Tribolium castaneum: one gene and its partner. The protein of the gene in region 1 interacts with the protein of each later gene in a biochemical or structural test. Links are inferred from orthologs where the notes say so. Each region holds a gene or a part of one and is shown on either strand. Other genes may lie near its edges.

The links.
Region 2: the proteins of escl (region 1) and NiPp1 form a complex in vitro, tested with the Homo sapiens proteins (2 studies listed by BioGRID). The link is inferred for Tribolium castaneum from reciprocal best matches to the Homo sapiens genes EED and PPP1R8.

Annotation. Positions count from the first base shown.
Region 1 is NC_087397.1:436,533-442,335, forward strand, and holds escl (polycomb protein EED), read right to left. Parts: upstream 3,417-5,803; 5' UTR 3,313-3,416; coding exon 3,277-3,312; intron 3,226-3,276; coding exon 3,160-3,225; intron 3,116-3,159; coding exon 2,982-3,115; intron 2,933-2,981; coding exon 2,761-2,932; intron 2,701-2,760; coding exon 2,401-2,700; intron 2,332-2,400; coding exon 2,141-2,331; intron 2,091-2,140; coding exon 1,889-2,090; intron 1,839-1,888; coding exon 1,638-1,838; 3' UTR 1,588-1,637; downstream 1-1,587. Other genes in the region: uncharacterized protein LOC662631, read right to left, coding at 1-371, 770-808; Mpc1 (mitochondrial pyruvate carrier 1), read left to right, coding at 3,638-3,705, 3,751-3,851, 3,900-4,072; uncharacterized protein LOC662535, read right to left, coding at 5,158-5,421, 5,476-5,593, 5,640-5,803. UniProt on the Homo sapiens protein: Polycomb group (PcG) protein. Component of the PRC2/EED-EZH2 complex, which methylates 'Lys-9' and 'Lys-27' of histone H3, leading to transcriptional repression of the affected target gene.
Region 2 is NC_087396.1:21,737,179-21,742,525, reverse strand, and holds NiPp1 (nuclear inhibitor of protein phosphatase 1), read right to left. Parts: upstream 3,366-5,347; 5' UTR 3,139-3,365; coding exon 3,110-3,138; intron 2,987-3,109; coding exon 2,772-2,986; intron 2,704-2,771; coding exon 2,486-2,703; intron 2,429-2,485; coding exon 1,877-2,428; 3' UTR 1,809-1,876; downstream 1-1,808. Other genes in the region: cytochrome c oxidase subunit 5B, mitochondrial, read left to right, coding at 1-12, 116-399; Aprt (adenine phosphoribosyltransferase), read left to right, coding at 1,083-1,168, 1,207-1,660; EGF-like domain-containing protein 2, read right to left, coding at 3,743-5,347. UniProt on the Homo sapiens protein: Inhibitor subunit of the major nuclear protein phosphatase-1 (PP-1). It has RNA-binding activity but does not cleave RNA and may target PP-1 to RNA-associated substrates. May also be involved in pre-mRNA splicing.

The DNA.
Region 1 (5,803 bases):
TTTTCGCGGATATCTTGCCTCAAAACAGGAACAGGTCGTTCCGGTCTAAAGTGCACCTGACGTTGTTCCTCCTCAGGTGCAGCTACAGCTTGCCCAACTGCTGATTGGAGAACCGAAAGTCCCAATTTGTTGACTTCATCGTCAAAATTACTGTTATTATTTATTGGGATGTTTTCTTCTTCTGGTTCTTCGACAACAGGTCGGACAGGGGCTGGGACTGCGTTAGTTATTGGTGGAGGTCGTCTCAATCGAGGTGGGGGGCCCTCATTTTGGATCCTTTGCTGTCTGAAGGGAGCTGGTCTGCCTTGGGGGACTAAAATAGCCCCCGGGATGTTTAGTCGAGGTGGGAGTTGGCCCGAACTTAATGTAATCTTTGGATAATTAAATAATTTAAATATTCATCATTTTATTTGTAAAGAAAGTGGAACAGTTTTGAAATTTAAATAAGTTATGTAAGGGAGTATGTAACCACAAGCTTACGTATTATTTAATTTTTTTTTTGATGTTGTGGAGCGAAATTGGTGAGTAAAAGTAAAGCAAGGTTGAAATTTCTAATGTAAAGAACACTGTTATGCCAAGGATGATTGGCGCCTAGAGCCAACTAAAGAATTCAATATGGAATATTATAAAAACAACCCTATTTTTTTATCATTGACGAGCCGCACATGCTTGTAGATTCGCCTAATTGCCACAGAAACGTGCCAAAATTTGTACGTATCCATGGTAATAAGAAGATAAAACCAGTGGCGGGTCATTTCGGTTTACTTACAAAAAAAAGTAGGCACGTAACGCACGTTAACACTGTCATTTTTTAAACTTGTGGACGACTGAAACCTGGTGCAAGGTGGCAAGAGTTATAAATAAGCCGCGCCCCTCTGTGCATTCTCGTCTTGTGGCCAAGCCCAATATTGCAAACTGATTGACTTTCACACTGGACTTTTGGATCTTTATCGAAGGAAAAATTGTGTTTTTGAAAAGACAAAAAAAGTGGTCTCAATGATCAATTAATAGATTTTTGTATGTGTCGGTGAAAACTATTTCGTATTCGGAAAGTGTCAATCGTTTGTTTTTTTAGCGCCACCGCAGAATGATAAAAGAACGAGCGAATTTAACGCAAGGGAAAGTGCATGCAAATTTCAATTTCGTACGTGTTGGTACGAAAGAAAGAAAGATCTGAATTTTTCTACCAAAGGTCAAGAGTTAAATAAACTGTGTCATATGCGTTACTGGTTTTCCGAAAGTTCGTTCGCCTCGCGAAAAGAATGAATTACTTGTAAACAATAAATAATTCATTAATTAATTATGTAGTAATTGTGGTTTATGTAATTTGGTTATGAATATTATGGCACGCGGGACACTTTTCGGAGATTATTTCCGCTTTCACTGCGATGTACTTGAAGAAATAGTTTTGGTTGCGAGATAACCTTCGCGTTAGCTCTCGCAAACACAAGTAATTTGCTTCAATAATAATACATGGAGCGAATAAGTCAAGAAAAAAATTGAGGGACTTGCTATCTAGAGCTCCAAAACTTAGAAAACAACTGCCAACTGGAAAGGAAGACCTGATATTGTCAAAATAAAAGTCAGTTCAATTTAAATAGTTTATTTTATCGTAAAAAATACAAAGCGGGAAGTAGTTACGCTACTTTATCCCACCTCCAAATTGTCCCGTCATCACACACACATAATAAAATATTGGCGTCTCTACTGAGACTAGTTTGTCGGATTGCTGTAGCGCATCTAGGGTGCTGTAGAGTGTAACATTTGGCTTGAGCTGGATCATCAACGTCTAAATCCCACACAAAAATTTTGCCAGTCTGATTACCCAAAGCCAAAATCTGTAAAACAAACTAATAATAACGAATTAAAAAGCAATGAAAAGTATTACTTTTTGCCAAAAATCCATAGCAAATCTCACAAACCAAATTTCACATTCTTTGTACTCAAATCTGTGAATGACAGTGGACGTGGTTTCACCCTTTCGCAAATTATCATCTTCCAGACGTCCTGGCTTCCAACACACGATGCAGTTTTCGCACGATTTACTCAAAACAAAATCACCAAACCAACGCACGCAATCTACGTAATTTCTAAAAAAAAATATTAAAAGGGGAAAACCTCATTAATTAATTGATAAAACCTGTGAATGTCTCTAGTGGAAAAGTCAGGGAAATGTTCCTTTAATGAATTGAATGGTCTTGTGCTCTTAGTCGTGTTCCATTGGTACGACTGTTTAATAGCCTCCCTCATACTCTCCTTGTTTAATTTCCATAATTTTAACGAGTGGTCCATGCCACAAGACATGATTCTGTTGCCCAACAAGTCAAAATCCTAAATCACCAAACTCACTTTGTTTTTTTTTCGGATATTGTTACCAATAAAAATCTTAAGCCAACTTACAGCACTTAAAACCTCATCTCTGTGCCCCTCAACACCCCCAAAAATGGCAATACAGACATCAGTCTTAATATTCCACAACCTCAGAGCGTGGTCTTTGGACACAGACAGCAACAAATTGGGGTCTCTTGGATGAAACTTCAACTCGTTAATCGCATGCCCATGGCCTATATAATGCCTCATGCAGGTCATAGACGCCGGATTCAAAATCCTAACTATGCCTCTTGAACCAGCAACCGCCAAAAGGGGCTTCCCCGTCTCTTCGTCATAAGTCCAGGCACAAGTGTAATAATTCTCATCTAACTGATTTATTAAGAAGCCAAACGATGTGAATCAAGTCAAGTGTCGTGTAAAAAAGGATACATCAGGATCAGCAAAACACTGCAAAAGCTTGATCCCATTCCCCTCAGGACACTCATAAATCGTAACCCTGTTACTCCCAACGGCTGCAAAAATCAGCGGTTGGCCTTCTTTCAAGTGGTGGTTGAACTGGGTGCCAAAAAGTGGCTGTCCATGATCCTCCTTAATATTACACCTAATAAAACACCAGTAAAAAAACACCACTTAACCTCATCCAAACTCACGTAAACTTGTAAATCGGTTTGGGGACTTTAAGCGGGTTGAATTTTTTCTTACCCCGCCGTCCTTTCCGCACCCTGTTTGTGGGGGTGTCGCTCCTGGACGTCGTCGAAGTGCTCCCAACACTTGAGGTCTCATCCTACTAATATTACAGGAATTTGCCTCAAATGTGCGTTAACTTACCGCCTCATCGCCAGAGTCTTCTGTTAGGTTCGAGTTGGAGTCATTGACCGCCGGATTCGACTTTTCCTTCATGATAAAAATGTAAATTAAAATTGAAAATAAAGCCTAAAGCCTTACTTCACAACGGCTGGGGGAGGACGCCATTGTTTCCATTGTTGAAAGCGCGCCATCAAAGTGTGCAACACCGAAAAGTTAAAGTTACTGTTAAATTTAAACGCGAGATTAGGCCTTTTTGCCTTCAATTAACCATTTCTTTTCAAACAATTGTGTTATTCGTGTTAGGAGTGTGTCTTTCAGAGTTTCAAACACAAAAAATTCGTGAAACGTTAGCAGAATGATTTGGCATAACCTTAACCTTGACATTTGTCACATTTATTTGACCACCAGTCTTCCTTGGAGTGTATGTGTAGGTCATTTAATTAACATAACGAATTTAAAATTCATTTATTTCAGTTCCATTCTAAAGAAAGACACGAAAATGGCAACTCTAGGGAAGAAGTTGGTGCAACAGCTCAAAAGCAAGGAGTTTAGGGAATATTTGATGAGGTTAGTGCTTGTTTGAGTCGTTGTTTTACTAAAAGTGTGTTATAGCACGCATTTTTGGGGGCCTGTTGCCAATTGGGGCATACCTATAGCTGCAATCGCTGATATATCGAAAGATCCCAAATATATCAGTGGGAAAATGACCATTGGTACAATTAACTTGTTTTGGAGTTTGGTGAACTAATGTTTTTTTGTAGCGTTGTGTCTTTATTCTGCTATGTTTATGCGATTTGCTTGGAAAGTGCAGCCCCAAAATATGCTGCTTTTTGCCTGTCATTTCACTAATGAGAGCGCGCAATTAGTGCAATTAAGCAGGTTTCTCAACTATAACTACCTCACCAAAAAAGAGGGCAAAGAAGAAGTTAAGTAATTAACGTGATTTTAGGTAATTAAATTAGCTGTGTAAAGTGTTCATTTGTAAAAAGAGGTTGTTGGTACGTTAGATAATTAGATAAGGTTTTTATTACATAACTGTGTAATGCACTGCTCAATTTACCTACCTTGGAGACCAAACTGAAATTTAGGGACTGATCTGAGAGTTATTTTGTTGGTATATACATGTTATTTGTATATTTTTGGAAATAAATATGTCTGTTTAAAATTGTCGCTTATTTATCACCCTGCGGGAAATGTCAAAACTTTGTCACAAATTCGATGCGTTTTTCGAAAATCCTGGGCTACATTTTTGCCGTCTATTGTGTGCTTTTTCTGGCCGTTTACATCGTGTTCGTGCTAGTGTTGCAGTACATTTACAATTATTTGGAGGAAAATATCTGAATTGAAGTGTGTTTTTTGTTGTTGTTTGGGTAACAAAACAAATTGTGTAGTACATTTTGTGACAATGCTCATTAAATAAATTCAAAACGAGAGGATTTTTCAAAAGTTTTTTACCAAGATCAAATTTTTTGGTAAGTGAATAGTGTAGTTTAGATGCTTTTGTAGAAATTTGGCGCTTTGGTCGGTCGCAAGCCGGGTTTTAGGGCCGTTTTTCTGCCTTATTTGACATTAGAAAATTGTGTTTGAAAGAGGTTTAGTTTCCCTGGAACTGAAACTTTTTTTAATCGAACTCAAAGCCCACGATCTCACCGAAATGAAAAAGATTTTCTTGTAAAATCGTTTATTAAACTTAAATTATTGTAATCAGATTGTTAAAATAACGGACGGAGAAATTAATAAAACAGTAATAAAAAAATCGGTTAATTGAACAATTTCTTGTTCAATTGTGCACTTAGGAATAAAAAGAATATCAAAAATATGTACACGTACACAACTCACGATCGCCCAACAAATTGCAACACGGCCTATAGTACGATTAAGTGCACAACAAGTACACAATATAACATACAAAATATTTTTTGTACCAAAAACCTACAACTACAACTGAAAATGGACGGTAAAACTATAAAATATCATCAATAAGGCACTTGAAAGGCCTTGGATTTCAAGTCATTGGTTTCAACTTCTGCCATACAAACCGAAACTAACAAATATCAGCAACAAAACTGTAACGATACTAACTTGAACACTGCTAGCGCCAGCTAAGCGACACTTGAACATGTCAAAACGTGTCTCATTATTATCAACTAAATTACTAAATTCGGCTTCCAACACTTGGCCGTCGTAATAAGTGATGAGATCTTCAAACGGATATTCGTAACCTTGCTTACACTCACACTTGTAGCCGCCTGTTTCGAATCCACGGCCCAAAATCGGAACACACTGAAAAAATCGTCACTATAACACCATACTTACGAAACAATAAAAAAAACTTACATATGAGTTTCGCAAATCGCACTTGTGTGTGTTTTTGAAGGCGTTTGGAACGTAATATCTGTCGGGACATTGGTTTATATCAAGTTTTAACAAATCCATTGATACGGTGACCACGCCCCTGCAATTTTTTTATTAGATTACGGAATGTTTGCGTGATAACTTACTTGAATTCGAGTTTGACTTTTAGACTGTCCCAACCGAAAAACGGTGCCGCGTATTTAATCTTCCACATGGGTTTTTTACCATCGCAATCGTAATACGGTTCGGTCCATAAGCCGTGCTTTAATTGGGCCCCTCTGTAGAAGTTTGGATAGCGTTCGTACTTTCT
Region 2 (5,347 bases), on another chromosome or scaffold:
TTGCCACCAAGGGTGAGTCCCCCGTTTCGTGAAATCGGACAATTTGTCAGCTGTGCACGTTCCCGAGTCGTAATCTCCATTACGTAATCCTCAAAGACACCCCTGTGTGTTTCAGTGACCATGGGGGACCCCGTGGAGCACGCCACCGGGCTGGAGAAGCGCGAGTTGATGGCCAAAGTGGCCGGCAATGAGAACCCTTTCGACCTGAAAGTCATCAAAAGGGGCCCAGGCACCAAGGATAAACCCAACGAAATTCCGTCAGCTTTTGATGCCAGACTTGTGGGCTGCATCTGCGAGGAGGAGTCCACCAGCGTCAACTGGATGTGGCTCTACAAGGGGCAGCCCCGGAGATGCGAGTGTGGGCACTGGTTCAACTTGGTCCACAAAGCTCCTGTATAATCCTGTAATATGCTAGTTGCTCTTAATAGACTAATAATAGACAACTTTATGTAATAAATTTATTTGTTCTTGTGAGTTCGCCTCATTTCTTATGTAAATAGTTGAGTTCCGTTAAACGGAAAAGTGAGTCGTTATTGCCGTTACGTAATGTTTATTTTACAAATGTCCCAGCTTTGCACTGCAATAAAACAAATAAATGCGAAAATCGTTACCACTGTCTTGTCTTTACCCCTGAAAAATTGTTATATAAAGTTGAACTTTGAATTGCCCGCTCGAGGTGCGTTAGCGTGATTGGTCGAAATGTCAAGCATAAAAAATTGGGTCCCTAACCTCAAGCACTCTAGTTAACTAAACTAAACAACAAAATCGTTTCCACATAATAAATTGTGGGGCTGTGGCCTTCCATTAGGGATTCTGCTCATTTTGGAGTCAGAAAAGTGCCAAATTATGGCAATTTGCGGTCAAATTTTGAATCGCGCTCCGAAAAGTCGGCCTGTGATTGGCGCAAACATCACAGTTCGAAAAATAATAATAAATGTGCCCTTAACCTCAAATTTGTATACAAATTAAATGGTAATTATCAATTATTGTGGCTATTAATAATAAATAATTGATTAAATTGCCTCTTTTTTCGTTTATTAGTGACAAGTGTGCGGGCCCCCCTTCGCAAACATTCCACTAAAATGTCTGATCTCGACCAAAAAATCGCCCAAATTAAAGCCAACGTGACGTCCTACCCCGACTTCCCCAAACCCGGCATCCTCTTCAGGTAACGCGCCCCCAAGTTCGCCTATTACCCCTTTTTAGGGACTTGTTTTCAGTGTTCCAAAAGCCTGAACTCATTGCAATTTTACGTGACGTTTTGGTGTCTTTTGCACGCAAAATTGAGCCCCCGGCTGAATGTATCGTGGGATTGGATGCTCGGGGGTTTCTCTTGGGGCCGTTGATGGCGATTGATTTGAACATACCTTTCGTTCCAATTCGGAAAAAGGGTAAACTACCGGGGAAAATTTTGTCGGCGCAGTATGCTCTCGAGTACGGTCATGACACTGTTGAAATTCAGGAAAATAGCATAAGTAAGGGGCAACGCGTCCTGCTTGTGGACGATTTGTTAGCCACGGGGGGCAGTCTAGGGGCTGCCTGCCAGCTCGTGCGAGGGGCAGGTGGCGAAGTCGCAGGGTGTCTCGTTCTAATGGAGCTCGAGGGGCTCAAAGGCCGGGAGAAGGTGCCAGCAGAGGTATTGTCCATTATTAAATATTAATTTTTTGATTGATATTTCAATCGAGAGTGCCTTGCATTCCATCAAGTAGTGAAATAAAAAACCTATTTTTGTCAAGTTGGTGTTAGTTTGAAACTGTTTCCCAGAATTCAGAAATTATTTCGCCATGTTTTTCGATAAAAGAAACTACTTTTCGTTTTTTATTGAATATTTAATCTATGACCTTGAGAAAATTACATCAAAAGCTTACACCTAATCCTAGACCAATAGCGTTTGCGTGGGCTTCTTGCCAGGCCACGCCTCCTTGGCATACTTCTTTTTCTTGGGCTCCATGGCGTCCGCAATTTGTACTTGGGGCGGGACAAAGGGAGTGGGCGGGGCGAAGTTCTGTCCCATGTCGACATCTGGCGCCGGATTGGGTAAAACCATTCCAAGGCGTGAACTTAACGAACTGTAAATGCTTAAATTCCCTGAACTGGTTGGAGAGTGGGATTCGGGGGGCAGGTCTGTGTACAAATCGGGGGCGGAGGGATGAAGGATTTTGGGATTTTTGTATTCAGTGGGGATTCCGATATTCTCAGCCGCGAATTTGGCCCTCTTGATGGTTGAAGGTACAACGGTGGTTTGGACCAAGTTTCGGAATTTACCGATACTCGGGTCCACATCTTCAGGGTTTATGATCTCTTCGTCCTCGTTGAAGGAAACGACTTGGCGTTTGCGCTTCCGGTTGGTGTTGCGTTTTTCCGTGTCGTCGGTGATTCCCAGCATTGATATCCGCCGGTTGTGGGCGGTGTTAAATTCCGTCAAATTCTATGGAAAAAAATATTTTTTGTAAAGCTCTCAGCTTCGCTGGTTGGGGTGGTTTACATCGAGTTCCGTTTCGGTCTCGGGGAGCCCCAGCAATCCGCCCTCGGTCTCCTCGCCCGCCTTTTCGATCTCGTCAATGATCGGCCGCATGCCCGTCTGGGGCCGCTCCCTGATCGTGTAATTTCGCGTGGACGCCCCAAAGTGAAAACTAGAATCAATAGGCAACTGAGTGGGTTTATACGCCTCAAGTCTTAATGATCCTATGAAGGTGCCATGGGCTAAAACAACGCAAATTATCCAAGTCTTGACACAAAAAAGCCCTAAGTTGCGCACACGTGACACTTACTGCTCCCCAAATCCACCAGAAACGCCCGATCTAAGTGTTTGTGCCAAACGAGGGCTGCATGAACCCGCGAACATGACGCGTGATCGATGCAGAAATCGTTCATTTGGGCGTTGCGTCCAAATAAGTAACACTTTTTGTCGTCGATCATCAATTTTTGTATTAGTTTGTCGCCCTTTAGCACGTCCAAATGCAAACCCACGGGGGGCTTGCCTGCCCTGAAACAGCATAACCTCAACACACAAAAACACACGATTTGTGGATTGTGTGACAGAAAAGGGGGCGAAATGATAAGTGAGGGGTTCAGGGGCCAATAACACAATTTTTCAAGGATTATTTACCAATTTGGCACCTCATAATGGTTTGCCATTTGTCGCTTTTTTGGCAGGTGACATAACGCTACGTCCGAAGTTGCACAAGGCCGAATAAAACAACCTCGTTATTTGTCAATCTAACGACATTAAAACGCACCCAAATAATAAGCCCATCGTTTGTTTGTTATAAAATCACTGTTTTAAACTTTTTGTACCGATTTGGCACCGCATTGATTTGAGAAAACCTGCTATTATGTAGTACGAAAGTGCTTATGACCGAGGAATCATCAACTGATCAACACCAACTCAAAAGTTATGGGTTCAAACCCTGACCCAGACCATTTTTTTTTTTCGTTTATATGTATTATGAACTAATCGCTTACAATGAATCGTAATGATTTACTAGTTTTACGCCTCAAATTATGTAAATTTCAATCAATAAAGTCCCATACAAAAAAATTATGCTTTTTTATTAAACAAATTTAGTCTGTCGTTGTCGTCAACCTTGATAAAAGAAAACCCCACGCTACAAAATTCTTACTTTATTAGTCAAGTATTTACATAAATATGGGCCTACGATAATTAAAAAACTTAAATAAAATACTGGAGTCACAATAACTTAATGGACGGAACTACATTGGCAGGATTGTGGTAAAGTTGTCACCCTTTGTGAGCAATCCGTTGGTTCTTCAACCAGAGACAAGCACTTAGTACACTACTGGCAGTGAGTAGCGAGATCAAAATCGCCGAAACTAGTAGAAAATTCTGCGTCGTCATACAAACTTCCCCCTCAAACGCGGCCTCAGTATTGCCAATATCGTTCAAATCCTCCGCCAAAACGACCCTCAGGTGCTTCCCCATTGTGACCCCGTCAGTGTTATTATAGTACGAAAGGTCACGTTTGCGCCTCCTCCCAGGCTCGATTTGCTGGTTGGGCTCTGGACACACCTGACAGTCGGTTTTGCAAAGCTCAATGTTGCACTGAATCATCAAATCCATCACATCTGGGAATTTAAAAGCGTTGAAAAACGCGTAGGCAATGATGGAAGCGCCGGTATTTCCCGTGTTTCGTGTTTTTTGGAACGCGCCAAATAGTTTGGGTTTGAGAATACAGCCGTTTTCGTCGGTTAGGGGGTACACGCGGTCGCCGGTCGAGTCCGTAGCCCTGCAGTCTTTGACTTGGATGTCAAAACCGGGGTCTCCGGTCACGGAGATAACAAGGGTCATTTGCTCCCCGATTTTGACCAAACCGTTGGCCGGGGGCGCGAATGGGCCTTTGCCCAGTTGGATGTCCAGCTTGGCCATGGCGGTGTCCCCACTGAAAGTCACAATCTCCTGGCTTAGCATCCCCACGCTGAGCGCCACGCTGAGGGAGTCCTTCAGGTTGCCCTCCCAGAGGCACCTCACAGCTCTGATTGTGTCCCAAACCTCCTGGATCCCTTGCTCGTTTTGGATCACGAGGACGTTCTCCAGGTACGACTGTCCTTGAGTATCAAACGCGTTGATAAATTCAGTCCCACAAGAGTTCAAACTGACGGTGAAGCGGTATTTCGTCATTTCGGAATTTTCGTTCACGTAGCGACATTCAGGCATGTTGTAGTAGCCTTTGGAGTAAATCACTCCATTGAACTCGCGGTTAAATTCAATCGTGATGGTCATCATGTCTTTGGCGCACTCGACATCAATTGCGTGAATATGTGGCGGGTGTTTCAAATCCTCATCAGTTGGTACGCCTGGCTGTGGCGTTTGGGGGATTTCCGTGGGTCCAGGCCGCGTGGTTGGCACTATGTTGTTATCCTCGGGCGAGGGCGTGGCTTCGGTTGTTATGGCAGGGGAGGTAAAGTGAGTGGAGGGGGCCGAGGTTATTGGGGTACCAGTGGAGGTTTGAGGTGTTGTGATTGGTGGACCGTACGTCGGTGCAGGAGTGGGAGGTTGAGTGGTGGGGAATCCGGTTGGAGGTTGTGTGGGGAATCCCGGCCTTTGGGAGGGGAAAGTGGGTCTTTGTGTGGGGTACCCTGTCGGGGGTTGTGTGGGGAATCCCGGCCTTTGGGTGGGGTACCCTGTCGGCGGTTGTGTGGGAAATCCGGGTCTTTGGGACGGGAAGGTGGGTCTCTGGGTGGGGTACCCTGTCGGGCGTTGGGTTGGGAATCCCGTGCTTCCGGGGAATCCCGTGGTGGGGTATCCTGTGAAAGGGGGTTGCGGGGGGCCGGTGTGAGGTGGGGTTATCTCGTTGGTGGGGGAGGGGTATCCTGTCGTGGGGTTGGT